Sus scrofa: one gene and its partners. The protein of the gene in region 2 binds, or shares a complex with, the protein of the main gene of each other region. Links are inferred from orthologs where the notes say so. Each region holds a gene or a part of one and is shown on either strand. Other genes may lie near its edges. The genes, in order: MED19, MED26, MED4, MED13, MED21, CCNC and MED8.

Region 1 (4,137 bases), about 48 Mb from region 2:
GTGGCTCTGGCTACAGCTCCGATTGGACTCCTGGCCTGGGAACCTCCATATGCTGTGGGAGCCGCCCAAGAAATAGCAAAAAAAGACAAAAAAAAAAAAAAAAAAAAATACAAGGACCAGGCTTACTCATCTCTCTCCTCTTCTCATCATATGTCTCCTTTATACCCAGGATTTGCCCAGAACAGATATTCAAGTGATTAATGTAAATAGGTACAATCAAAATAAGTTAAGGTTAAATAAACTGCTGGTAGACATCAATCACTAACTAAAGTCAAGTCAACCTCTCTATGCTTTAGTTTTTCAGCTTTAAAAAGCAGATAACAATGCCTATTTCAAGGGGCTATTGTAAGTATTAAACACTAAAACATATCTAACTGCACTGTGAATTTCAAGGTCTGTAACAAATCATTTCCCTCAGATATTTTTGGGCCATACCCATGGTACAAGGAAGTTCTAAGGCCAGGAATCGAATCCAAGCCGAAGCTGCAACCTATTGCTACAGCTGTGGCAATGCCAGATCCTTAACTGGCTAGGCCACAGTAGGAACTCCTTCTTCAGCTCTTTTTTTTTTTTTTTTTAAATCTTTACTCTCTTAGGGCTGCATTTGTGGCATATGTAAGTTCCTAGGCTAGGGGTTGAATGGGAGCTGTAGCCACTGGCCTACAATCACAGCCACAGCAACGCCGGATCCTTAACCCATTGAGCAAGGCCAGGGATCGAACCTGTGTCCTCATGGATACCAGTCAGATTCGTTTCCTCTGAGCCGTGACAGGAACTCCCCTCCTTCAGCTCTTGATGTAGCAGTAGGACTTGGGATGAACTAAATGTCATCCTGGAGACTTAACATGTCCAAAATGACTTGATATCCATCTCCTCAAACCTGTCCTTTCCTGATCTTAGCACTACCATCCACCTAATTATTCAAGCCAAACATTTCCAAACTGCCCTCAATTCCTCTGTCCTTCAATTCTATTTTCAATCCTGCATTCCTGTCAGTTCTACCTCTAACATTTATTTGGCATCCATTTACTTCTCTCCTCTACTGCTATTTCCTAGTTCAAACTATCATCTCTTTCCTGAACTACTAAGCTGTAACTTCTGACCAATTTTCCCACTTTTCTTCTTTTTTTTTAAGGGCAGCACCCAAGGCATATGGAGGTTCCCAGGCTAAGGGTCAAATCAGAGCTACAGGTGCCGGCCTACACCAGAGCCACAGCAATGCTAGAGCTGTGCTGCGTCTGCAACCTACACCACAGCACAGGACAACACTGGATCCTTAACCCACTGAGTGAGGCTAGGGATCAAACCCACAACCTCATGCTTCCTAGTCGGATTCATTTCTGCTGTGCTATGACGGGAACTCCCCCACTTTGCTTCCTTAATAGAGCTGCTCGAATGATTGAAAATAAGCAAATAAGTTAGAAGTTAGATCACTTCAGACTCTTGTGTCAAAATGGTTCCCCCTGAACTTAAAATGTCTTATAGAGGCCTCTGCCTACTCTCCCACCTTCATCTCCTATCGCTCTTTCCCTGTTCACTTCCCCGGAGTGCAAGTGGTTTTCTGTCCCTCAAATATTCAAGGTTATTCTCACATTGGGCCTTCTAATCTCATTTTTTGTATCTAGAGTTCTCTCTCCTCCCACTCATAAATGGCTAGCTCTTCCTTTGTGCTTATATTTTAGCTCTAATGTTATCTACTCAGAAAGGGCTCTCCTGATCACTCTAGCTAAAGCAGTTCTGCCCCCTCAATTCTTTATCACATTTCCCCCTTGTAGCCATAACCACTATCTGATACTATCTGTTTATCCGCAGATATCTGTTTATCACTCTTTGACTCCTCCACTGGCAGGTAAACTCCCAAACAGGCAAGGATCTTGTCAGTTTTGTTCACAGCTGTATCTTCAGCAATTGGAAGAGTGCTTGGTACACAGAGTGGGTGCGCAACAAAATAATTTTTTGAATGAAAGAACCTGGTTTAATTCTAATCACTTCTTCGAACACATTTTGAAACCCCGAGGCCCAGAGGAAGAAAGACAACATGTCCCAAACCAACAGGAAGTTTGAAGCAGATCTGGAACTGGGTCCGCAGGGATGTTAAATCAGGACCCTCAAATACCAAACTCAAAGCTAGGATAATCTTTAGGGAGTCAAAAACCAGCGTCAGGGGCAGGATCGGGCGTGAAAGGTGGTCAGGGAGATCCACTCTCTTCCCACCCCTAATCCATCCCAATTCCAATCATTCTTTCGGTTGTGAATCCTCAGAACCTCTTCTAGTATAGTGTTCCGAAATCGCGCCACGCGTTGCCTAGGTTACCCCTCACCCCAGTCGGAAGGCTGAGAGCCACGCCCCGCCTCTCCTCGCTATGATCTGATTGGCTGGCTTTGACCAGGCCTTGTACTCACCCGGCAGTTCCCGCATTAGGTAGAAGGGGCCACAACCGGCCGCTGACTTGTCGGAGCCGGGAGCGGCTGTGGCCGCGGTAGAGGGCGGGGCGGGGCCCGGCCCCCCGCCCGGAGGAGGAGGCGGTGGGGGTGGAGGTTTTCCAGGTCCGAAGCCAAGTGCGGTCGGGGGCGGTGGTGGGTCAGCCTGAGCTCCGAACAGCGCCGTGAAATTCTCCATCGCCTCCTCCGCCCCGGCGCTGTCTCGGTGTCTGGCGTTGGTGACGTTCATTGGTCAATCTTTTCACAGAGTACCGCCCTCCTCTTTCAGGAGCCTCTCACCATTGGGTTGCCTCGGGCCCTTCCTACCTTCTTCCTGCAACTACTTCCGTCGCCTTCTGAGAACGTTCCGGAAGTACTATTTAACTTTATTTAAATTCTCCTGTATCTCCTACTTGCCGCAGTCGCATATGTCCAATAAAACGATTTAGGTGGAAAAAAAGACAGCTAGATTAGCCAATAAAATATCAAAGCCCTTTCTCCATTTTTAACCTGACGCAGAAGCCAGTCAGAGATCTGCTTCCGGATCTAGAGGCGGTGCATCCGAGACTAGGCCCAATGGAAGCACAATGATGGGAGAGGCGGGACCAGGCTCACGGACTCCGTGGAGCGGCTGGCGCCGCTAGAGCCGGGAAGATGGCGGTTCTCGCGCCTTTAATTGCTCTTATTTATTCGATACCTCGACTATCACGATGGCTGGCCCGACCTTACTACCTTCTGTCAGCCCTCCTCTCTGCTGCCTTCCTACTCGTGAGGAAGCTGCCCCCTGTCTGCTACAATCTCCCCACGCAACGCGAAGACGGCAACCCGTGTGACTTTGACTGGGTGAGCGACCCCCCGCCTTAGGACCCCGCGACCTTGACACCCTGTCCTAGGTTGCATCTACGAGATGCGAGGTTCACCTGTTTGAGAACACCTGAGGTTCCCAACCTGTAGCGGACTTAAGCTATTAAGAATCTAGAGCCTGGGCGGTCGTCGAGTGTAAACCTCTTCACGTTTAAGATGGGAATACAGCGAGTTAGCCTGCCGGGGTCTTCTGACTCCTGAGTCCAAGGTCCTTTCCGTCTCACAATTCGTACCTACCCAAACGAGGCATCTGCACTGTTTTACAGTGCTGCTCTCGTTATGTAAAGCCTCTTGAGGAATCAGTGAGGTAAACAAGGCAAGTAGTAGTAATCTCGTTTCACTGATGAAGAAATTGATCTCGGCGTAGTTAGGAGACTTGTCCAAGGTCACACAACTAGTGAGTGGCTGGGACTTGAAACCACTCTTCTGGCCAAAGCAGCAGCACCATCAGTCATTTTAATTCAGTTAACAACTGCAGAGGGAGGACTGTATGCTAGGCACTGTGCTGCATCCTGAGAATGTAAAAATGAATAAAGTTTTAGGCCTATTGAAATGGAATTGTAAAAAAAATTCATTGTAAAGAAATCAATCTGAACTCTCTTGCAGTACTTCCTAAGTAGAAGTGGAAGGACCACTCAGAAAAATAAGATGAAGTTCTGTGCCCCCTTCTGTATAGCTGAATCTGTGTTACGAGGAAGGAGGGCCTTCCTGAGTTTTTGTCTTTTTTTTTTTCCAGGTCCCAGAATGAGTCTTGACTTTTGACAGAACTTACTTCCTTACTTTTATTCTCCTTCCCTTGTTTACTTTTTCGTACTTCCGCCGTTCTTTCCCAGTGTTATTAAGTAGCTCATG
Region 2 (3,456 bases):
AGGGAAAAAAAATTTTTTTTGTTTAAGTCAACCCCATCCAGATACTAAGATAGCCCTAGGCCTGCATGGGAAGCTAGCAGCCTGGAGCCAGGGCCCAGCCTGGAGCCTGGAGCCAGACAAGAGTTTTGAACCATGTGGTATAAGAACTACAAATATTTTAGGGGATAGGACAAGGTCACTGAAACTTGAATTGCAGAGCCTGCTGGGGGGGGGGCTTCTCTGTCTGAGAAAGGTGAGGTATAGATGGAGACAGATGTGGCCCTTCAGTTTGTCACCCAAAGCTAAGAGGTGACCTGATGTGGGAGAAGCATCGTGGCCCTGAAAGCATGAAAGGCAAGGTAGGGGTCAGTCTCCAGGTGGAAAGCTAACAGGCTGACTTGGCAACTTTGCCCTGCCCTCCTCCCCACAGTCTGGCTACTCAGGGTCCATGTCTACTTGGCTAATCCAGAAAGGACTATAATGGCTATAAAGGACCAAATTAAAAACAATTCTCAGACTGGTTTGTGCAAATGTTTTTTTTTTTTTCTTTTATTTCCACATTTATATCACAAGGTGTCCACTTACTGGACCAAATAGCAAAGTTGCTCCCTTCTGCATCCTGAGAACACAGAAGTCTAGGTACTGTACATTCACTAAGGCTCCTTGTTTTTGCAAATCGCGTTTATGACAAATAACCATAAGGCAAACGAATCTAAAGGAATGGTTATGAGTGTTTCCAGCGTACAGACAGGTCTCCTCTCACCCAACAGTACAGCTTACACACCAGTAGCACCCGCGGTTACTTTTGTGGGTTTTTTTTTTTGTTTTTTTTTTTTGTTTGTTTTTTTTGGGGAGGAAGGGACTCTAGGAAGGTGAACTTTTCTAGATTTGTGCAGGAAGGGGAAAACGAAGAGGGAGGAACAAAGTAAAGTTACTCATCTGGTGGTGAGATGGAAAAGGGGGATAAAATAAACTCTAGAAAACTTAAATTTTGCAGCATTTCTTTAAAAACTGGGTTTTAACTGAAACGAGATACAAATGTGTGGATGCCCATGGAGTGTGGGTCAAACTGCTGGCCAGTTGGCCTGACTGATGCCAGCAGCTTGCTATAGCTGAGAAGCTTCTGGCACCACGATGGAAAAGCTGGCCAGGTGGGGTGCAAACAGAGGCTGCAGTGTTGCCCACTGCCTCACTCAGGGCCACATTAAAAAACAGAAAATGCAAAGAGATGAGATGCGTGCTTCTGTTGCTGTGTTAAAGGTAACCTCTTCCACAGGTTTTCTCTGCCTGCCTGCAACTGAGGTCCCAGCTCATGGGGGCTGGGCAGCGTCCACACCTCTTCTGAGGTGGGGAACTAACGCTTTTTATAGCTGGTTTGCTATAGAGTTCTGAACTCACTTTGCTGGCCTTCCTTCCACACGGTCCTTCCTTTGCAATTTTGTTAGTAAACTGGTAGCAGCATTTCACAAAAGAAGGAGAATTTTGAGGGAAGAGCACGGAGAGACCTAGAGACTCTCGCCCCCTCCCTCCCGCCCCAGGCCGGACTCCCTGGATTCCCAACCACTGGAGGTGGCAGGGTCCTGGCGCCCCACCCTCCACGGCTAACTGCAAGGTGGGAATGCACTTAGAGCCCGCGGGACGGTCAGTCCAAGCAGACATAAGGCAGAATGTTCAACCGCCCGTCGTCGCCGTGCGGGTCGAGCGATATGCACTGCGTCCAGTCATACCAGTTACCCTGTGTGTCCTGACACCCATTCACCCCTGGCCACTGGTGGGCCTGGATTCTGTCCAGATCGTCCTGTGTGACCTCTCGGCTCAGCCCAGGGAGGTCCGTGGGTGGGCCGTGAGGCACCAGCACGTGTGGCTTCCGGGCCCCACGCCGAGTGCTCTCCTCCTGCTTCAGGTACTCGGACATGAAGTGGTGAGCCCCTGGGGTCTGCGCACCCGATGATGAGAGCAGGCTGCTCTGCCGGCTCAGGTACGATTGGATGATCTCGTTGCGCGACAGCTCCTTCCAGTTCGTCTGTTCAAAAGGGCTCTGGAGGTTGGCCTTGGCCTCGGGTTTGTCCAGCTCTGTCCTGGGCTGCTCTGTGTGCACAGGGCTGTCGGCCCGCACTGGCTCTTTCTGGGTCAGAGGTTTGATCTGTCTTGTCATGGGGTCAAAGGTGAGCTTCCGCTCTTTTAACCGGACAGGTTTGACGCCCGCCTCGGCCACTTGCCCGTCCAAATTAACCGTGTAGTCACGAGGCCGGTACCTCTTCTTCTTTTTGCTGTCCGAGCCACCGGAGGAGGCAGCATCGCTGTCTGCCTTGGAGGAGTCTGGGGAGAAGCCTGCCCGGGGCAGGAGAGGCTCGGCTGGGGGCAGCCCTGCCTTGCAGCCTGGCCCTGAGAGCCGCTGGTGGCCCTCAGGCTGTTCTAGCCAGCGCACCGGGCTCTCTGCACTGGGCAGCAGCTCCAGTCGCCGCACAGGGGGTGTGGATGGCTGGGCCAACGGAAGCGGTGATGGCACCTGTGTGGCATCAAGCGACTGGGGCCTCTGTGAGGGACTGGGCACCGAGCCCTTGTATGTGTACGGGCTCCGTTGCCGGGCAAAGGAGCCCTCGTGCCGTGAGTTCCGGGGACTGAAAGAGCATCGAGGTGGTGCCTTGGGGTGGGGGGGGCCGGGAGTCTCGTCCACCCTGTCCAGCTGCTGCAGCAGCACAGCCTTCGTCTGCAAGCAGGGCCCGGGGGGCTTGCCTAGGCCCGGGGAGCTAGTGTGAGGCCTCACGGCGTTGATGGGGATCTTGCCGCTGTGCTTGTCATTCTCGCTGTGCTCCAAGCGGCTGCCCTCAGGGCCCGCATGCCCACTGCCGTCCAAGGAGCCAGGGAAGCTCTCAGGGCTCCCACTGATCCCGTTAGTGGGGAGGGGGGACAAGTTGGGTACCAGGGAGTCGTGGCTTGCTTTGGAGACCTTGGGAGGTGGCCCAGGGTGGCCAAGGTCACGCTGGTCTCCCCGGCGCTTGCGGCTACCCAGCCTGTCCAGCCGCTGCCCGGGCAGCCTCTGGATGTCGTTGCGGTTCTTCAGGTCGTGGATGCTCTTGGGTGGGCCAGCTGCCCCTGCCTCTGGCCGACAGTTATGGGCACCCCCATTGGCTGAGCCAGTGGCGCCTGCCAGCCCCCGCAGTGTGGCCTCATTCTGGTGCACGGGCTCGATGAGCTTCTGCCAGCTCCGCAGCAGCTTCTTGGCCCGCTTGGCAAGCTCCTCATTCTTCGTCTTCTTGCGGACATCGTTGATGAGCTTCCCAAGTCGAGTTTCCTACAGCCAGAGAGAGATGATGACACACTTATAGGACAGGGAAACCTCATGAAAAAGGGAGCTGAGTGAGAAATGACGGGGAGCACCCCATGTCTTTGAAATGACCTCACACTGGGCCCTAAACCACTGGCTTCCCAGACACAAAACCTATGAGGATTTGGAGCCTTCGTGGCATTTAAATT
Region 3 (2,779 bases), on a different chromosome or scaffold from region 2:
ATGCCAGAGCAGACAGGAAAAAAAAATAATGTGTATGTGAAATATACCTGAATATGAAAGTTAAATGTGCTTAATTTATAAGATGACTCTTCATTATATAACATACGATATATATATCTCCTGTTAACTTTCCAGAGTTTTTTTTTTTTTTTGCTTTTTAGGGCTGCATGTGGAAGTTCCCAGCTATGGGTCTAATCAGAGCTGTAGCCATTGGCCTATACCACAGCAATGTCAGATCTGAGCTGCAACTGCAACCTACACCACAACTCACAACACCACCAGATGCTTAACCCACTGAATGAAGCCAGGGATCAAACCCGCAACTTCATAGTTCCTAGTTAGATTCCTTTCCACTGAGCCACAACAGGAACTCCCAGAGTATTTTTTAAAACCCAAATTCTAGGAAACATTGAGACCCAAGGGTTTTGGATGAGTGGTTATAAAGATGTACAGATAACCAGGTAAGCATGTACACAACAATTTGATTTGAGATACAGTGGTAAAATTCCAAACAAGTGTATTTATTTACAAAAAATACAGTAATTACAAACAGTACAAATTGAGGCAAGTTCTCCTGTGACAAAAGCTAACAGCCTTCACTTTCAAATGAGTTTTCTGTTACTCTGAGCTATGTTGCATTTTCAGCGATCTACTGCCTTTTGTTTACGCTTTTCATAATAACAAGAGGTCTATTAGTGATGTACATGGGTCATGTCCCTCAAATCTTATTTCCAGAACTACTATGTACAACTCCAACTAAGATGGCACTGAACTGACTAATCTTTTTATTCCAACGGTAAATTTTGTTTTTCTCTATTCCCCTAGTGGTTCAGAAACGAAACCATGATTTTTGGCTTCAAAAAGTCCACAATAATTTTTAACGATGGCACACTTTCACTACAGTATCACCTGGCTTTTAAAGGTTTGCTGCTGTTTAAGAAGCCGATTTCTATAATATTCAATTCTGTATGCTTTTTTTGTCACATTTTCTTTAATCAGAGTCACTGCTACTGCTTGAGGAGTCTGTTGACATGACCTCTACGTCATCTTCATTTTCTTTATTGTGCCCTGGAGGCTCCAACAAAAAGTCATTACTGTGATTTGGTGGTAACATATTCATTGCCATATCATTTGACTGCCACGGATACTGGGGGGCAAGAACATCTGAAGAAAAGAAAGCCCATGTGAGAACATTTCAACTCAATTTACTTCTTAGTTACTCTTTCCTTCATGCAAATAAAATGAAGTAAATTTTTAAGGCTGAAGTCTAAATACACATTTGACCAAATTAATGAAAGATCAAATATATCAAGGAAAAATGTGATGTTTTAGTAACCACAATCTGTTTATTTTTTTTTAAATCACACTTTACTATAGCCACTATTCATAGTCAACTGCCATTAATTTTCCTTTTACAAGACATTCACAATTTCCAAATATTTCATATGTCTGTATATATTTAAGCACATATAATAGGTCATATATACTACTCTCCATATATTCCCTCGTGATATAAACAGCTAATATATGTACTATACTAAAAAAGGGGCCCTGTATCTATTATTACTGCATTTGAAAAATACAGTTCTTGGAGTTCCCGTCATGGCCCAGAGAAAACGAATCTGACTAGTATCCATGAGGATACAGGTTCAATCCCTGGCCTCACTCAGTGGGTTAAGGATTCAGTGTTGCTGTGAGCTGTGGTGTAGGTCGCAGACTCAGCTCAGATCTGGTACGGCTGTGGTATAGGCCAGCAGCTACAGCTCAGATTCAACCCCTAGCCTGGGAACCTCCATATGCTGCTAAATGCTCCAAATGCAGCCCTAAAAACAGACCAAAAAAATACAGTTCTCTTTACCATCCAGTAGTTAGTGTATTGTTACTAGTCAGTAATTCTTTAAATTCTCCTTGTTCATATTGCTAGTGTGGTTTCTGCCTCCTGCCTGGATTGTGAGTGGCTTATGTCATATGATACGGTATAGTCACAATGAAAAATGTGATTCCAAGGGAAACTAATGCCCAATGAGTTCTCAGTTTACACCTTGAATAATTAACAAAAATGGTGCTTATAAAAAGCATTTTTAGTAACAGAGGGACAGCCTTACAATGAAATGTCATGCATTATCTAGAGCATTTATAACAACGTTAAAAATACAGGGGGGAGTTCCCGTCATGGCACAGTGGAAACGAATCCAACTAGGAACCATGAGGTTGCTTGTTCGTTCCCTGGCCTTGCTCAGCAGGTTAAGGATCTGGCATTGCCATAAGCTGTGGTGTAGGTCACAGACACAGCTCAGATCTGTGCGTGTGGACCAGCCGCTAGACCCCTGGGAAACTCCATATGCCACAGGTGTGGCCCTAAAAGAAATAACAAACAAAAAACGGGAATAAACGAAATATGTAAAATACTAAAAGTAATTGCTCAAAAAAGCAATTTTTTCATGGTTTTAAAAAAAACTTTAAAAATATTCTGCCAGGTCAAAAATAAAACAAGTCGCCAAAAAAAAAAAGAAAGATAGGGAACGTAAAATATAACAACAGTACAAACCTGTATGTGAAGCCTGAGGAAGGGTGAAGCTCAGTATGAGTCTCACAAAAATGACATTCTATTTAGTTACAAAAAAGTCCATAAAAAGCTTTGTTATTCACTTTGTTAATTTGAGGGTTATTCATAAGAGTGTTCACTTGGTATTCTTTAAACTGAACATACATCTTACTCTGTTTATAAAGCATGTTTCATTTTAAAAAGCTAAGTTTAGGGCTTAGTTACTGAGAAGTC
Region 4 (3,500 bases), on a different chromosome or scaffold from region 2:
CGTTAACCACTGCGCCACAACGGGAACTCTGAGAGCTGTATGTCTTAACCATCATCTCATTCCTACTTTCAGTAAAACAGCAATTTGTCTTGTATTAGAAAGGTGGTATTATTCTTTTTCAATTCTTTCTCATCCTTCACAGATAAGCTTATTACTCTCTCCAGAGCTCACTTAATTAGCACAACTATCCCATTTTTTAAAAAATCAAAACTATATCAAGGAAATAAGGTATGAAATACTGCCTTAAGGTTTCTAAGATAGTCAATAAATCTTTATAACCAGTAACATAAAATCAATGTTTCTATACTGTTTCTTCAGCACCACTATAATCTAATATAATCATTAAATATTTTTGCATATAACCAACTTCTAAACTTAAAAAAACAGAACATCATATAATGAAGAAAATAAAGACTAGAACCAAATCTGAAAATTAAAAGTTACTTCATGGACTTTCCAAGTTCCCTTAGGCAGTGTTTGTTAGCCTTGAAATATGTTGTTAGAAGTGTCTACCAAGTGACAACTTAATATAAGGCTCACCTGTTGTGAACTATCAGTTACAGCCTTCATGAATAACTGGTCATATCTAACTACTATCAAGAAGAATTCTACACCAAGTTCTGGTAAAGATATTGGCTAACAGCATCTGTCATTCATTGCTGATAGGAATGCAAAGTGGTTCAGCCAATTTGGAAGACAATTTGGCAGTTTTTTAAAAATTAGTCATGCACTTCCCATAGGATATAACAATTTCTCTGTTATCACACAAGACAAATAAAAACATGTCTACAGACACACACAAAAAAGAATTCTACATGGACTTCTCTTACAGTGCAGTGGGTTATGGACCTAGCGTTGTCACTGCAGTGCCTTAGGTCACTGCTATGGCTCAGGTTAGATCCGTGGCCAAGGAACTTCCACATGCCGTGAGTGTGGCCAAAAAAAAAAAAAAAAGAATTCTACAAAGAAGGCCACTATTTTCAGAATATACTCCAACATTTTAGTGAAGCAAGACATTCTGTTCATTAGGGACTATATTTTTGATGGTATATAAGAAAGCAAATATTTGAAAATACTTTACTAGATTTTAATTTGCAGAGGACTTTATAGTTTCATGTTTCAAAATTTGTTAGGCTAAAATCATTACCTCAAGGTTTATAGCATAGAATTTAGGGACTTTAATCTTTTTTTGTCTACATAATAGAAATTAATCAAATTATTATTATAATTTTTTTTCATTGCACCCGTGGCATATGGAAGTTCCTGGGTCAGGGACTGAACCTGTGCAACAGCAGTGACCCAAGCCGCTACAGTGACAACGCCAGATCCTTAAACCCACTGTGCCACAAGAGAACACCATAAGCCATTTTCTATTCTTTAAAAATGAATTTTTTTACATTTTAAATGATACATATAAGGAAATAAAAGTACCTATTTGGGACATCAATGTTAATAATACAAGTTTCTAAAAGTTCTCCATATAGATCTGTGCAAGATGCAAGAATCCATCTTTGATCATGTGACAAACAGTAGCCCACAAAAAGTACATTATATTTCTGTCCAGCTTCTCCAAATGTTTCTCCTAGTTCTGTCTGTTTATCTTTCACTGGAGCCAGAATAAAAGGAGGTGTATAAAGTCGAATACACTCTGGTCTCTGTAAAATAAAAAATTAAGTTACTATGGCACTATATAATCATAGAAAAAAATTTTATTGAAGATACACACACACACACAAACACAAACACAGAGAGAGAGTGTGTGTGTGTAAGATAACTGAAAAATGAGAGCTAAACAGAGACCTGCATTTAGTTTGGCATAAAAACATAAAATGTAGTCATTCAATAACTTTGGTCATGGAAAACATACTTACATCAGGACTTTTAAGAGCAGTTTCCATGGCTAAACCTGGACCAAAACCAGTCAATGTTTTCACATTGGTTGATGTTGGAAGTGGTCTCCGACACTGAGTAAAGGCCGAAAAAGCTAGGGATTTTAAATGCTGGGTATAGATTTGTCTATCTTCATGCTTCACAGGTTGCAACAGGTACTGACAAGGAACAATCTGAAGAGTTATAAACAAATATTACAAATGTTAAGCTTTCAACAAGAGAATTAAAAGAACTATATGTCTAAAACTCTAACACTTTTAGTATGAAATTTAAACTAGGGAGTTCCCGTTGTGGTGCAGCAGAAACAAATCTGACTAGTATCCATGAAGATGCGGGTTCAATTTCTGGCTTTGCTCAGTGGGTCGGGGATCCGGCATTGCTGTGAGCTGTGGTGTAGGCTGCAACATGGCTTGGATCTGGCATTGCTGTGGCTGTGTGTGGTGTAGGCCAGCAGCTCTAGCTGTAGCTCCGATTCAACCCCTATCCTAAGAGCTTCCATATGCCTCAGGTGCAGCCCTAAAAGGCAAAAAAAAAGAAAAAAGAAAAGAAATTTAAACTAAATTTAGGATGATAATCTAATGAATTATATTTTCTTATCTATTATATAGATATTGTTTGTTTTTTAGGGTCACACCTGCGGCATATGGACATTCCCAGGTTAGGGGTCGAATCAGAGCTGCAGCTGCCAGCCTATGCCACAGCCACAGCAATGCCAAATCTAAGCTATATCTGCAACATATACCACAGCTCACAGCAATACTGAATCCTTAACCCATTGAGAGGGGCCAGGGATTAAACCTGTGTCCTCATGAATACTAGTCAGGTTTGTTACTGCTGAACCACAATGGGAACTCCTATGATATAGATTTTTAATAAACAGTCAACTTTACTAATGGAATATATAAAAATCTTTAAAACATTTCTACATAGTAGTTATACTGTTTAATACTGCCATTGACTAGTACTATTATGGTCTATAAGAAAAATTCAAATTCTCTGCAAACAATATGGCTAATTTCTCTCTACTTTTCCTGCAAACTATCTTATCTAGTACCCTAGCTTGTGAGTCCCTTTTTTTAAATTTAATTTTCTATTTATTTTGGCCATGCCCCTGTGGCATGTGGAATTTCCCTCGCCAGAGATCAAACTTATGCCACAGCAGCAACACAAGCTGCTGCAGTGACAATGCCAGATCCTTACCCAGAGTCACAAGAGAACTCCATGTCTGTTCTTAATTTTCCTAATTAAGCTTATGAATTTAAAAATTAGTTTAAAAAAGTAACACGGAGAAACATACAATGTACTCAAAGCAATCTTTTTGTTCTCTATTATTACTGCGGTATGATCACAAGGTTCTTTTATAAACTCTTTAAGATTTCTGTATTATAGTATCACTTAAAGTAAAAATCAATAGAACCTAACTTTTACAAAATCAATATGGATACAGAATAGTAGCTTTGAAATTTCTGTCAACATTAAAATGTTTTATATAAATTTAACTTAACATTTATCATTCTTACCTGTACAGAAACAGTACTCTTAATATGAGGAGGAAGAGTCTGGACCATTTCCAGAAAGCATCGAAGTAACCCCAAAGTCCACACATTGGA
Region 5 (3,473 bases), on a different chromosome or scaffold from region 2:
GGTTTCAGTAAGGGTTTGTTATTCTTGACCTTTAGAACTTTTAGAGCACTAGAAGTTTATAGCTTGAGTCCTGGAGAAAAAAATTTTGTTTTGTTGTTTTGGTCTTTTTTATTTAGGGCTGTACCAGCAGCATACAGAAGTTCCCGGGCTAGGGGTCAAATTGGAGCTGTAGCTGCCGGCTTATACCATAGCACAGCCACAGCCACTCTAGGTCTGAGTTGCATCTGCCGCCTGCACCACAGCTCGTGGCAACACTGGATCCTTAACCCACTGAGTGAGGTCAGGGGTTGAACCTGCATACTCATGGATACTAGTCAGGTTCATTACTGCTGAGCCACAATAAGAACTCCCAAGAAAAACATTTTGGAATACTTAAGGTGTGGTCTTTCTCCCACCATTTCTTTATAGTTGTAATTACTCTGGTTTCAGAAAAGGAATCATATGCCTTGGAGTCAAATTTTAAAATTTACCCTGGGGTAAATTTTAGATATTTGCCTGTCAGATTTGCTTTTTTCTACCACTGTTGCGCTAAAAGTCTTAACTTGTGCTTGCAATCAGTATTGGCATATATTTCTGTTATCATTCTGTTATCTCGGGAAGAAAAATAATTATTTTGTGTTTCTCTTTAACTGTTGCAACTAAATAAATGCCAAAGGAAGTTTCTTTGCATGATTAAAATATTTCGTTGTTAGTAACTGGCTTAATCCAGGATTTATCATATTTTATTCTCTTGCTCAGTGATCATTATAGAAACATCATCAATGCCAATAAAATCCTGAAAGCTGATAAATCCTTTCTAATTTTGCCACATTTCTTTTGGCCTGTAGCTTGCAGATCAGTTTTGTAATGCCATTGGAGTGTTGCAGCAGTGTGGTCCTCCTGCCTCTTTCAGTAATATTCAGACAACCATTAACAAAGATCAGCCAGCTAATCCTACAGAAGGTAAATAGATTTTTTTTTTTTTTTGGCTTCTTTTAATTTGACTCTCCCTCATTGCCTTTAATCCCATAAAATTAGATTTATTGAAAAATTCATCTTATTCACGGCTTTCTAAAAATGTTATTGTTAGAGAATGTTACTACAAGTTTGTCATAAAAGAAATAAATTTTTGTTAGTTTATATAACACCTCGTAGTTCTTTTTATGTTAAATAATGGATTTTTTACTCCTTTAGAGGAGAATTATATGAATTTAGCTGAATTTTACTTCAGGGACCTTAATAAGAAAGGCATCTCATAAATTCCTTTATTCAAATGATCATCAAATTGTCCTGATACATAATGTACATTATGCTTGATTCCTAACTTGAGTTAATGTTAAAGCTGATTCTCAAACATGTAATAGGATTAATGTGTTAAAATTACACCTTAATCATTAGAAGCCTAGGACAGAAAAAGTTAAGAAGTTTTTTTGTTTCATTAACTTAAAATTTGATTGCTGTTTCTATAAACTTGAGGTTCTCAAATACCCTAAATGAGTACAATCTTTCTCTAGAATATGCCCAGCTATTTGCAGCGCTGATTGCACGAACGGCAAAAGACATTGATGTTTTGATAGATTCCTTACCCAGTGAAGAATCTACAGCTGCTTTACAGGTAAAAATCTCTTTTTCTGGAGTTCCCCGTTGTGGCTCAGAAGTAGTGAACCTAACTAGTATCCATGAGGATTCGGGTTCAGTCCTTAGCCTAACTCAGTGGGTTAAGGATCTGGCATTGTGGTGAGCTGTGTGTTGGTCGCAGATTCGGCTTGGATCCTGTGTTGCTGTGGCTGTGGTGTAGGCTGGAAGCTGCAGCTCTGATTTGACTACTAGCCTGGGAGCTTCCATATGGTTCAGATGCATTTGAATTAAAGGAGATAGCTTTAGTACCCTTTTTCCTTTTTTAAAGAAATTTTTTTTTTTTTTTAATTTTTGGCTGTGCCTATGCCATGTAAAAGTTCCCAGGCCAGGGATTAAACCTGTTCCACAGCAGTGACCTGGCCTGCTACAGTGAGATCTGTATCCCACTGTGCCACAAGAGAACCCCTTTAATTCCTTTTATTATAATATTAAAAGGTACTCTCAATTTTAAAATGGGAATTTTATTGGAAACTACTGTAGTCTATTAAAGACTGCACTGAATATGTATAGTTGTCCAATTTTGAGTTATGAGGAAACTTCCCATTTTCCTCAGTTTGATTCTTTTCCTTGGAAAGAGTGAGAGGAAGGTAGCATTCCGGACGTGGAATAGAGCATAGTGTCTAAAAGCAGTGTGGAAAGGAGTCTCCTATAGCAATCTAGAGAGCTCTCATTGAAAAGTCATCTTTTAAATAGTTCATACAGGGAAAATTCTCAAGTTATATCTGATCTGAGGATTTATGCCACTGAAAAATCTATCACAGTGGTTGCACAGTCATCCAGATTTAGAAGTAGGTACTTCCACTGCAGTTTATTTCCTTAGAAGGAAATAATCTCCAAGTTTTTCATTTGTCAAAAGATTCTTAAATTTATGTCTTATAAAGGCTGCCAGCTTGTATAAGCTAGAAGAAGAAAATCATGAAGCTGCTACATGTCTGGAGGATGTTGTTTATCGAGGGGATATGCTTCTGGAAAAGATACAGAGTGCCCTTGCTGATATTGCGCAGTCACAGCTGAAGACAAGAAGTGGTACCCACAGCCAGTCTCTTCCAGACTCATAGCACCAGTGTACATATCATGTGGCCAAGAAGAGAACTATTTCAGTGCCGTTAAGAATTCTACATCAGATTTAGATGTAAGCCTTATCGATAGTTAGAGAAACATTAAGCACTATGACACGTTATCTTTTTAGCTATTTTTAATAGTCTTCTATTTTCATTTTTAATAAATAAGCTTGTAAAATTGTGATTGAACCAGCTTTAAACTGTCATTATGCTATTATTTTGTATTTTGAGTGAAATTATTGAGGCAGATATTGCACTTACAGTCAGAATATAATTAAACAGATGTACTATAGAATTCTATTGTGACATAATTTGTCTTTATTTTTGTCCTGTTTCTACAGCCTGTACAAGTGAAAACATCCCCCAAGCTAGAGAAGAAGATGGTAAATGCAGAAATGGTGGATATTTGAATTTAGGTTGATATCCTTCTGCCTCTTTAAAAGTGACATTGTAGAGTTCTGGTGCAGTGGATCGGGGATCTAGTGTTGTCACTGCAGTGGCTTGTGTCACTGCTGTGGCAAGGGTTCAGTCCCTGGCCCTGGAACTTCTGCATGCCACGGGCACAGCCAAAAAGAAAAAAATAAAATAAAGGTGACATTGTATAAATTTGGAGCTGGAGCAAGGAATGGTTCTGAAAACCACATTGCTTTTTAAGAAGCAGAGAGTGTGGCCAGATGAAAGATTAAGTCACTTTTGTGGAAGCTTTTTCTTCTTTTTCTTTCTTTCTTTTTTTTTTTTTTTTTTTTTGGTCTTTTTGCCATTTCTTGGGCTGCTCCTGCGGCATATGGAGGTTCC
Region 6 (3,948 bases), on a different chromosome or scaffold from region 2:
AATTTCTTCTTTGATATAATAAAGTATCCAGAGTTGGTTTTGTAGTTTTAATTTTTATTACTTGTTCATTACTTCATTCAGTCAACCAGCAAATATTTAGTGTCCTTCTAGTTTTACCACATCATGGTCAAAGAAGGTGTTATGTTCTACCTTAACTTTCCAGAAAATACTTTGATTTGTTCTGTTTCAGAATTATCATTAATTTCTTTTCCACAGTCATTATATATTTTTAAACAGATAAGTATCACAGGCAAATATTTTAAAGTTTTTCCTCACAGCATGCAGTATGGAAGATAAACCAAGAAACATCACATATCATCAAATTTGATATTATGCTAATTGTAAGATTTCACTATTATTTCATGTGCTACTAAGAAAAAAATTGTTATGCTGATTGCAAAAATATTAAAATGGGTAATTTGAAGCCATGAAAAATAGTGTATATCATGTCAATTTTCCTCCCTCACCAAAATCAACAACAATATCAACAATAGCTTTCATATCTCTTTGTTCTTCCTGAACTGGTTGTTTTGTCCTTTACACTTGTTATCTTTTGCAGATCAGGGATCCCGGATTTTCAAGGGTTTGAGTCCTCCAGGACTAATGGAACTGGCAGGCAAAAACAGTTTCAAAAAAGCACATTTAATATTATAATAATGTTATATTTGAAAGGTGAAAATACAATTGGTTTTATAAAATGGATCTTGGCACCCTTTTGATAGACCAACAGCGAATGAAAACAGAGTGAGAATGCTTATCAAAAGGAGGTAGGATCTTTTTTTTTAAGGTCTGTGAACTTCTGATAATCAACAGCTAGTGACCTGTCAATTCTCTCAGTTTTTTTCAAAGCTTATCAGAACGCCTCTTCCTCACTATCTAAATTTTCCGTATTTTAATTTTGTCCAAATTATTTCAGTGAGTGAAAACAGTGCAAAATAAAAATGTGATCAGAAATAAAGCTTCTTTCTATACCATCTCATCTTCACGTAATCACTTTATAGGAAGAAAGCCTGCTTTTCTGAAAATAGATATCAAAGCCCATTGTTTCTTTTTTCTAGGTCAAACGGCTAAAAGACGGAAGGAACAACATAGAAATCCATCTTCTTCAAACTTAAAATTTAGTTACTAATGCTCTCCTGGCATTAAAAATTATTTGCACCATATCATCTTTATCAGATCTGTTCATTTTTCAACTACACAATGCAAAGTCTAGCCAATGTTCAATTAATCCCATCATCCTCTTTCGTACATGCTTAAAAAAACTTATTTAGGGAGAACTGTTTTCAATATTACTCTAATTCTTCCATGGTACTGACAGACACAAAAACTCACGAAAAAAAGGTTAAAGATATTGGCAAAGTCACTGGAAAATACACTTATTAAACAGAACATGAGGCGCAAATAAGTTCTGAGAGCATTTGCCCTATACCTTACAAACATAAAACTCCACCTAGGCTTAAGGTAGTGGCAGGAAGCGGTTAGTGAGCAGAATGACAAAAGATTACGATGCCAATCCACTGAAGAGATACCAGGCAAAAGGGAACAACAGTCCTCAAGAGCCAGTCTCATAGTTCCGAACTGTGCCACACTTGCAAAACCTTTGCCTACCCCATCCCAACTGCCGCCGGCCTGGTTCCTCCACCCACACCCCCTCCACCCCGCCTCCGCCGAGCTAATCCAAGAATCCGAAATTAAACTCTCGAACCTTCTTTCTCCGGAGACAGGACCCCCCCCCCCCCCGCGAAACCCGGCCAGGGGGCGGAATGAGGAGAGTCGCCAGAGAAAAGCGCACCTCGCTTCCGGCTGCCGCCACCTCCCGGGAGACTCCACCGAACTTGGGACAGGGATCCAGGCCAAGGAGAGTCGCAGGCCCGGTCCACACCGCCCCCCAACAAGAGCCCGCCCTGGACGAGAAGACGTAAGATCACTTACTAATGGGAGCTCTGCCAAAAGTTCCCTGCCATGGAACACAGCTTGCCCTGATAAAAAAGCACCAGCCGGTGGAGCGGCCCACAGAGCGACCATAGACCCAGCCCAACCGGTAACCGCGCTCCTCGATCTAATCTGCTGGGCTCGCTCCGCGGCGGCGACGGTGAGAGGAAGAGGATGGCACCCTATTCTCTTTGCCGCCGGCCGGCAACACTCTACTTTGTAAACCCGTTCCTATGGATAAAGGTTCCGGCCTGCCCCGCGACAGTGGAAGAGGCTGGCGGGAAGGAGACAGTCTTTGGGCGCGCTGAGATAGGCGACGGTAACTGGAAGGCTCGCGGCTCGCGGCGGTCGGGAGCCTCTCGCGAGAGTTTCGCGCCGGTTCCGGCTTAGAATCAGTGGGTTCCGGCCTAGAACTCGGGCGGCTCGGTATTCTGCAGTCGCTGCTCTTTGCGGGAAGGGCATGGAAAAGGGGAAGACGCTGCTCCCCACCCCAGTTCGGAGCAGACTTCCAAAGCAGTGCGGTGGCTTTGTAGTGAAGTATAAGATTTCCTGACTTCAGTTCCTTTTCTTGCTTTTGGCAAGAGAAAGATTATTGTAGCCTCAAGGACCTACCAAAACCGAGCTGCACCAAGCCAGATATGTAGTTAATGGAGTTCTTTTGGAGGGAAGCACAAACTTTTAGAGCAGCAGTACGTTTTTTTTTTAATGCCAGAGACTGACAGCTTTGTGTGTTTGTGTGTGTACCAAATAGAAACATACAACCAAAACAATCATTTAATTTTACGCAATTTCTTTTATCTTTGTAACATTGCATTTATTGTAAAGCTGCTAATTGAATCATTGGACACACACGAATAAAGTTTTTCACGGATGATCAGTGTTCCGAGGAAGCTCAAGACAGTATTTTTCACACAGTTAGGTTGTGGTGAAATTGAATATGATATGCATTTTCCTAGATAAAAATATCAGGTATATCAGAAATATCAAGGGCATTTATAATTTTTGATTCAGTTACATATGTATATGTGTACTTGGTCAGGATGTGAAATGAAATATATATATATATATATATATATATATATATATATATATATTTTTTTTTTTTTTTTAGGGCTGCACCCCAGGCGTATAGAGGTTCCCAGGCCAGGGGTGGAATGGGAGCTGTAGCTGCGGGCCTCAGCCATAGCCACAGAAATGCTAGGTCTGAGCCACATCTGCGACCTACACCGCAGCTCATAGCAATGCTGGATACTTATCCCACTGAGTGAGGCCAGGGATTGAACCAGAATCCTCACAGATACTAGTCGGGTTCATTATGGGAACTCCTGAAATGAATTTTAGTAGCTTAGTATTTTATGTCGCACTTCATTCCCATAAAGTGATGTAGGTTAGAAAGCACCCATTAAAAAAAAAGAAGAAGAAGAAAGCACCCATTAGTGGATGTCCTCCGATCTTGAAGGATCTAGCATATTTCCATCTTTCAACTTCAGTGGATCTTTAAGCAAGGGGGCTTTGAATTACAAGGGTCTTCTACAGGTGAATCTTACAAAAAATAAATATGGGAGTTCCCGTTGTGGCTCAGTGGGTTACCGACGAACCAGACTAGTATCCATGAGGATGCAAGTTTGATCCCTGGCCTTGCTCAGTTGGTTAAGGATCCAGCGTTGCTGTGAGCTGTGGTGTAGGCGCAGATGCAGCTCAGAGCTAGCATTGCTGTGGCTGTGGCATGGGCCAGCAGCTGCAGCTCTGATTTGACCCCAGCCTGGGAACTTCCATATGCCATGGATGCAGCCCTAAAAAAAGACCAAAAAAAAAAAAAAAAAAAGTTTAAAACATGGGAACTGAAGAAATACCAGCCCTTATGCTACTTAACAACAGAGGTTCAGAATTTCTTCAACTCCCTAAGGTGTTTTTTGTTTGTTTGTTTGGTCATCCTAATATCTTTCAGAAATACTGTAACAAATTTGCATTGTTAGATGTTTTTTTCTGTGTGCCCGTATTACACTTTGTTTCTAC
Region 7 (4,084 bases), on a different chromosome or scaffold from region 2:
GCTGAGGTTCCATCTACCTGTGGTCAACCACAGTCCAAAAATACCATATGGCAAATTCCAGAGGTAAACAGTTTATAATTTTATTTTATTTTATTTTTGTCTTTTTGCTATTTCTTTGGGCCGCTCCCGCGGCATATGGAGCTTCCCAGGCTAGGGGTCCAATCGGAGCTGTAGCCACCGGCCATCACCAGAGCCACAGCAACTCGGGATCTGAGCCGCGTCTGCAACCTACACCACAGCTCACGGCAACGCCGGATCGTTAACCCACGGAGCAAGGGCAGGGACCGAACCCACAACCTCATGGTTCCTAGTCGGATTCGTTATCCACTGCGCCACGACGGGAACTCCATTTATAATTTTAAATTGGGCACTGTTCTGAGTAGTGTGATGGATTCTGGCTTCATCCTGCTCTGTCCCAGCTGGGATGTTAATCATTGCTTTGCCCAGCCTATCTTTGCTGGTACAATACCCATCCAGTTAGTAGTATATGCAGTACAGGGTTTGATACTATCAGTTTGAGGCACCCAGTGGGGGTCTTAAAACTTATCCCCCACCAATAAAGGGGGGCTGCTGTATTTGACTGGGGTGAGAACAGCGGCAAAACAGGAACCATAGCTCCACTGTTATCACTCAAACTTCAGAAACTAGCTAAAAGCCTCCTTTCCGACCTAAATATAGGATCTACATTTTCAAAGTAGACTGGACCTAAAAGACTCAGCCACGTCCAAGGCAAGAGATCCCATATGAATACTGAAGTGGGAGGACCTCCTCCCAGAGACATCAGAGGGTGAGAATCAAAAGCTAGAAAGACCCTGAGTTGGAAAACTGGGCATTTCTCTGCTTCCTTACCAGGGAGGCCCAAAGCCAACTTCAGTGTTACACGTTGGGAAACTCAGCTCTTTTTAAATCAAAAGATGTTTGCAAACTGATAAATGTTTACATCACTGGCAATGTCCTATCCACCTGGTGACCTGGCCCCCCCCACCCATGGAGCCCTCCCCAGCTTGCCCTGGCATTGCTTACCAGGTCAGCCGGTCATACTCGTTCTCCAACTTGTAAATGAAACTCCCCAGTGAGTTCTTCAGATCAGCCACTTGACTCAGGAGTGCATCTAATGATGCCTCAAGCTGCTTCTCCTCCCTCTGCACCAACAGGAATAGGATGTTACTCAGATGAGGGTGAGGGTGGTGCCCACAGAGGCGGGCTGAAAAGCCAGGATGACAGTGCGCAACACCAGTCATGTGACACAGGATCTCACTGGCACAGGGAGAGCCAGGCTGTTTTCTATCTTTGGTATCAGGGTTATAGACAGCACCAACCCTCAGACCTTTCAACCCACTCGCCTGGCCTAATTCCTCCTACCTGCTGGTTCCTTTCTCTCATCACCCCTAATCCGTGCTTGGTTTCCTATCACATACACTATACTCTCACTCACTGAGCAGACACAGCAGACCTAATGCCTCGGGGTCATTATCTCTTGTGCCACTCTGCAGCATAGGTACTCTGACTTCTGCTGTCCTAAACCTGCCTTGGGAGCCTGGCTGTTCCTGCCAATGACACAATTTCTGAAAAATCTACCTACATGTGAAGGTTCCTTTGAACACCTGCCACTGCCACCACCACGGCCATTTCCCCCTTTCCTCTGTCCTCAGCATTTGCTGTTTCAAGCTCTTTGCTGAATTAACCGGCACTCTTTTTTTTTTTTTTTTTTTTTTTTGGTCTTTTTGCCTTTTCTAGGGCTGCTCCTGTGGCATATGGAGGTTCCCAGGCTAGGGGTCTAATAGGAGCTGTAGCCACTGGCCTGCGCCAGAGCCACAGCAACGCCAGATCCGAGACTCATCTGCAACCTACACCACAGCTCATGGCAACGCCGGATCCTTAACCCACTGAGCGAGGCCAGGAATCGAACTCGCAATCTCATGGTTCCTAGTTGGATTCGTTAACCACTGAGCCACGACAGGAACTCCATTAACCTGCACTCATTTTATCTCTGTGCCAAAATTCCTGTGCCCCTTTCACAAGCTTAGTCAAGCTATAAAAATTTACTGACAGACTACCAGGTGCAAGAAACTGACAAATGAAAAACAAAAACAAAAATGCACATGCCCCTAAGTACTAAACTATTTTAAATGCTGGTGAGGGGTTGTCTGCCAAGCATTTCCTGTCCATCTTGGTTCTTCATCTTTACTTCATTTCATCCTTAACTACCACAGGGCACAGGCTAGGAAGGAGGTAGAACTGCCTTGCGAACTCGCCAATATACAAGACAGTAGCCTTGATTCCGGGTTCCAGCCACTGGCCTCAGACTATATTAGTTTGGCTTTTGTCACTGCGGCCCCACAATTCCTTCCACTCTCGGGCTTCTCTCCAGTTATCGATCCTCTGCTGTGTCGGCAGCCAACAGCGGCCATTCAACAGCCCGGGCCGGGACCTGAGCCAATGCGGCACCTTCTTGAGCTGTCTTCGTTGGACTGCATCTTAACCTTCCCAAACGACCGACCCTTTCCCACCCCCAGCAAGTCGGTGCCGCCTTCCCCCTCCCAACTCAGGGGCCGTCTCGGTCTCCCAGCCGGGCTCCACCCCCATCTGTCATCAGTGCCGCTCCCTCTCCAGTGGGCCTCGCCTCCATCCCGCGTCCCTTTAGCCGTCGGCCGATGACTCTACCCACTCCTCTCAGCTCCAGCTCCTCACTTTCTCCAGCCCACTCTCCGTCCCGGTACCCCGACGCTGAGTAGCGGTCACGAGCGCCAACCCGGTCCTCACCTGCATCGCGGGAGCAGAGGTTGCGTCAACCACTTCCTTTTCCGGTTTCCAAGTCAGCCAATCAGAAAGTTGGGATTCGATCCTCCCATTCGTTTCCGGTTCCTTCGGGCGAGAGGCAGCCGGGTCAGGGGTCACGAGCAGAAGGGCTTCTCTGGCCCGGGCCGGCGCGGGAGGGCTGTGTGATGGCCTCGGAGCGCCCGGAGCCGGAGGTGAGGGGCGGGCGGGCGCAGCGCTGGTCCCCGAGATCCGCGGGGGAGGGGCCGGCGGCCGGGTGCGGCCGTGGCCTCCTCCGGGTCTGGGGGCGGCGGGGGTCGCCCCGAAGGCCCGGCAGTTGCATCTCCTCACCCCGCGGTCCGCACTTTCCTTGGGGGGCTGGAGGAGAAGCTCGTCGCTCTGTTCTGTTTGCTCAGATTTCATTCACGTCGCCAACTCTGGGGCCCTCGGGTTCTCCGACTTCCTAATGGTATTAACAAAGCCTTTATTTTGATTTTGCAATTTGATTTTACTTTGCTGGTGCTTCATATCTTCACGTATTAGAATGACATAATCAGCATGAATTAATTTAGTTCCAGCGCCATGATTTTGAAAGGCAGCTTCGGTTTCGTGGGGAAAATACATATATAGATTCTTTTTTGATTCGGAGTGAAACGTCGTTCACTTCGTTTGGTGCTGCCCTGTAGCCATCTCTGCAACTTCGGGCAAGGCTTGACTGTTTCCTGCTTCTTAAACACCTGTCTTAGGGTGTTTTGTGAGGATCCCATATTTTAAACCAGAAAATGCACATGAGGTATCCCTTAGTTGTTGAGGACCATGCAAGGAACTTGATCTGCATTGTGTTATTCAGACTTGTGCAAGGAAGGTGGCTGTGTCCACTTTCATTTATATGTAAGACACTGGAAAGTGAGAGACGTTAAGTACCTTACCCAAGTGCTACCCTCAGCCAGGGAGTAGCAAAGTTTTGAAGTTAGAAGATCTGGTTTGAAAAGAACATCACCAGGAAAGGTGCCCAGTATTAGAATATGATAGACGGGAAGGGTGAGAGACGTGTGAAATGAAATGACACAAAAGAGTTGTCATAACATATCGAATGCGTGCCGCGTCGTCCTGCTTTACCCCATCAGTTGATACCCTCAACCCGAAGAAGCAGACGTGATTATTTATCCCCATTTTTCAGTTGAGGAGACGGAGGCACAAAATGTTAAGGGTAACAAAGTTACACAGCTAGTTAAGTAGCGGAGCTAAGACTCCCAAACAGGTGGTCTGCTGTAGTATGGTGGTCATAATGTTTCCAGTATAAGCAGTACAGTTGCCACAGGATGGT

The links.
Region 1: MED26 (region 2) and MED19 share a complex: the UniProt entries of both Homo sapiens proteins name them as parts of the mediator complex. The link is inferred for Sus scrofa from reciprocal best matches to the Homo sapiens genes MED26 and MED19.
Region 3: MED26 (region 2) and MED4 share a complex: the UniProt entries of both Homo sapiens proteins name them as parts of the mediator complex. The link is inferred for Sus scrofa from reciprocal best matches to the Homo sapiens genes MED26 and MED4.
Region 4: MED26 (region 2) and MED13 share a complex: the UniProt entries of both Homo sapiens proteins name them as parts of the mediator complex. The link is inferred for Sus scrofa from reciprocal best matches to the Homo sapiens genes MED26 and MED13.
Region 5: the proteins of MED26 (region 2) and MED21 are in contact, whole or in part, in a cryo-EM structure (PDB 7EMF), measured with the Homo sapiens proteins. The link is inferred for Sus scrofa from reciprocal best matches to the Homo sapiens genes MED26 and MED21. Residues at the interface, in NP_004822.2 of Homo sapiens: Ser481, Arg482, Asn483, Glu484, Ile485, Ser488, Tyr489, Ser491, Arg492, Ser495, Leu496, Ser498, Ser499, Ser500, Leu528, His529, Ser535, Pro537, Thr538, Asp539, Leu540, Pro541, Gln549, Asp551, Leu552, Ile555, Gln556, Trp560, Gly562, Val563; in NP_004255.2 of Homo sapiens: Ala2, Asp3, Arg4, Leu5, Gln7, Asp10, Ser14, Gln18, Asn21, Gly24, Val25, Gln28, Cys29, Tyr54, Leu57, Phe58, Leu61, Arg64, Thr65, Lys67, Asp68, Val71, Leu72, Asp74, Ser75, Leu76, Pro77, Ser78, Glu79, Glu80.
Region 6: MED26 (region 2) and CCNC share a complex: the UniProt entries of both Homo sapiens proteins name them as parts of the mediator complex. The link is inferred for Sus scrofa from reciprocal best matches to the Homo sapiens genes MED26 and CCNC.
Region 7: MED26 (region 2) and MED8 share a complex: the UniProt entries of both Homo sapiens proteins name them as parts of the mediator complex. The link is inferred for Sus scrofa from reciprocal best matches to the Homo sapiens genes MED26 and MED8.

The regions. Positions count from the first base shown.
Region 1 is NC_010444.4:13,239,974-13,244,110, reverse strand, and holds the start of MED19 (mediator of RNA polymerase II transcription subunit 19), read right to left. Parts: upstream 2,801-4,137; 5' UTR 2,672-2,800; coding exon 2,404-2,671; intron 1-2,403. Other genes in the region: TMX2 (thioredoxin-related transmembrane protein 2), read left to right, coding at 3,076-3,264. UniProt on the Homo sapiens protein: Component of the Mediator complex, a coactivator involved in the regulated transcription of nearly all RNA polymerase II-dependent genes.
Region 2 is NC_010444.4:61,032,706-61,036,161, reverse strand, and holds the end of MED26 (mediator of RNA polymerase II transcription subunit 26), read right to left. Parts: intron 3,275-3,456; coding exon 1,622-3,274; 3' UTR 501-1,621; downstream 1-500. UniProt on the Homo sapiens protein: Component of the Mediator complex, a coactivator involved in the regulated transcription of nearly all RNA polymerase II-dependent genes.
Region 3 is NC_010453.5:19,564,637-19,567,415, reverse strand, and holds the end of MED4 (mediator of RNA polymerase II transcription subunit 4), read right to left. Parts: intron 1,165-2,779; coding exon 992-1,164; 3' UTR 501-991; downstream 1-500. UniProt on the Homo sapiens protein: Component of the Mediator complex, a coactivator involved in the regulated transcription of nearly all RNA polymerase II-dependent genes.
Region 4 is NC_010454.4:36,413,741-36,417,240, reverse strand, and holds part of MED13 (mediator of RNA polymerase II transcription subunit 13), read right to left. Parts: coding exon 3,411-3,500; intron 2,064-3,410; coding exon 1,872-2,063; intron 1,656-1,871; coding exon 1,432-1,655; intron 1-1,431. UniProt on the Homo sapiens protein: Component of the Mediator complex, a coactivator involved in the regulated transcription of nearly all RNA polymerase II-dependent genes.
Region 5 is NC_010447.5:46,729,909-46,733,381, reverse strand, and holds the end of MED21 (mediator of RNA polymerase II transcription subunit 21), read left to right. Parts: intron 1-827; coding exon 828-942; intron 943-1,493; coding exon 1,494-1,594; intron 1,595-2,498; coding exon 2,499-2,675; 3' UTR 2,676-2,973; downstream 2,974-3,473. UniProt on the Homo sapiens protein: Component of the Mediator complex, a coactivator involved in the regulated transcription of nearly all RNA polymerase II-dependent genes.
Region 6 is NC_010443.5:66,496,955-66,500,902, forward strand, and holds the start of CCNC (cyclin-C), read right to left. Parts: upstream 2,801-3,948; 5' UTR 2,026-2,800; coding exon 1,793-2,025; intron 1-1,792. UniProt on the Homo sapiens protein: Component of the Mediator complex, a coactivator involved in regulated gene transcription of nearly all RNA polymerase II-dependent genes.
Region 7 is NC_010448.4:167,860,079-167,864,162, reverse strand, and holds the start of MED8 (mediator of RNA polymerase II transcription subunit 8), read right to left. Parts: upstream 2,801-4,084; 5' UTR 2,770-2,800; coding exon 2,692-2,769; exon of another isoform or gene 2,630-2,691; coding exon of another isoform or gene 2,624-2,629; intron 1,143-2,623; coding exon 1,024-1,142; intron 1-1,023. Other genes in the region: protein SZT2, read left to right, coding at 2,946-2,972. UniProt on the Homo sapiens protein: Component of the Mediator complex, a coactivator involved in the regulated transcription of nearly all RNA polymerase II-dependent genes.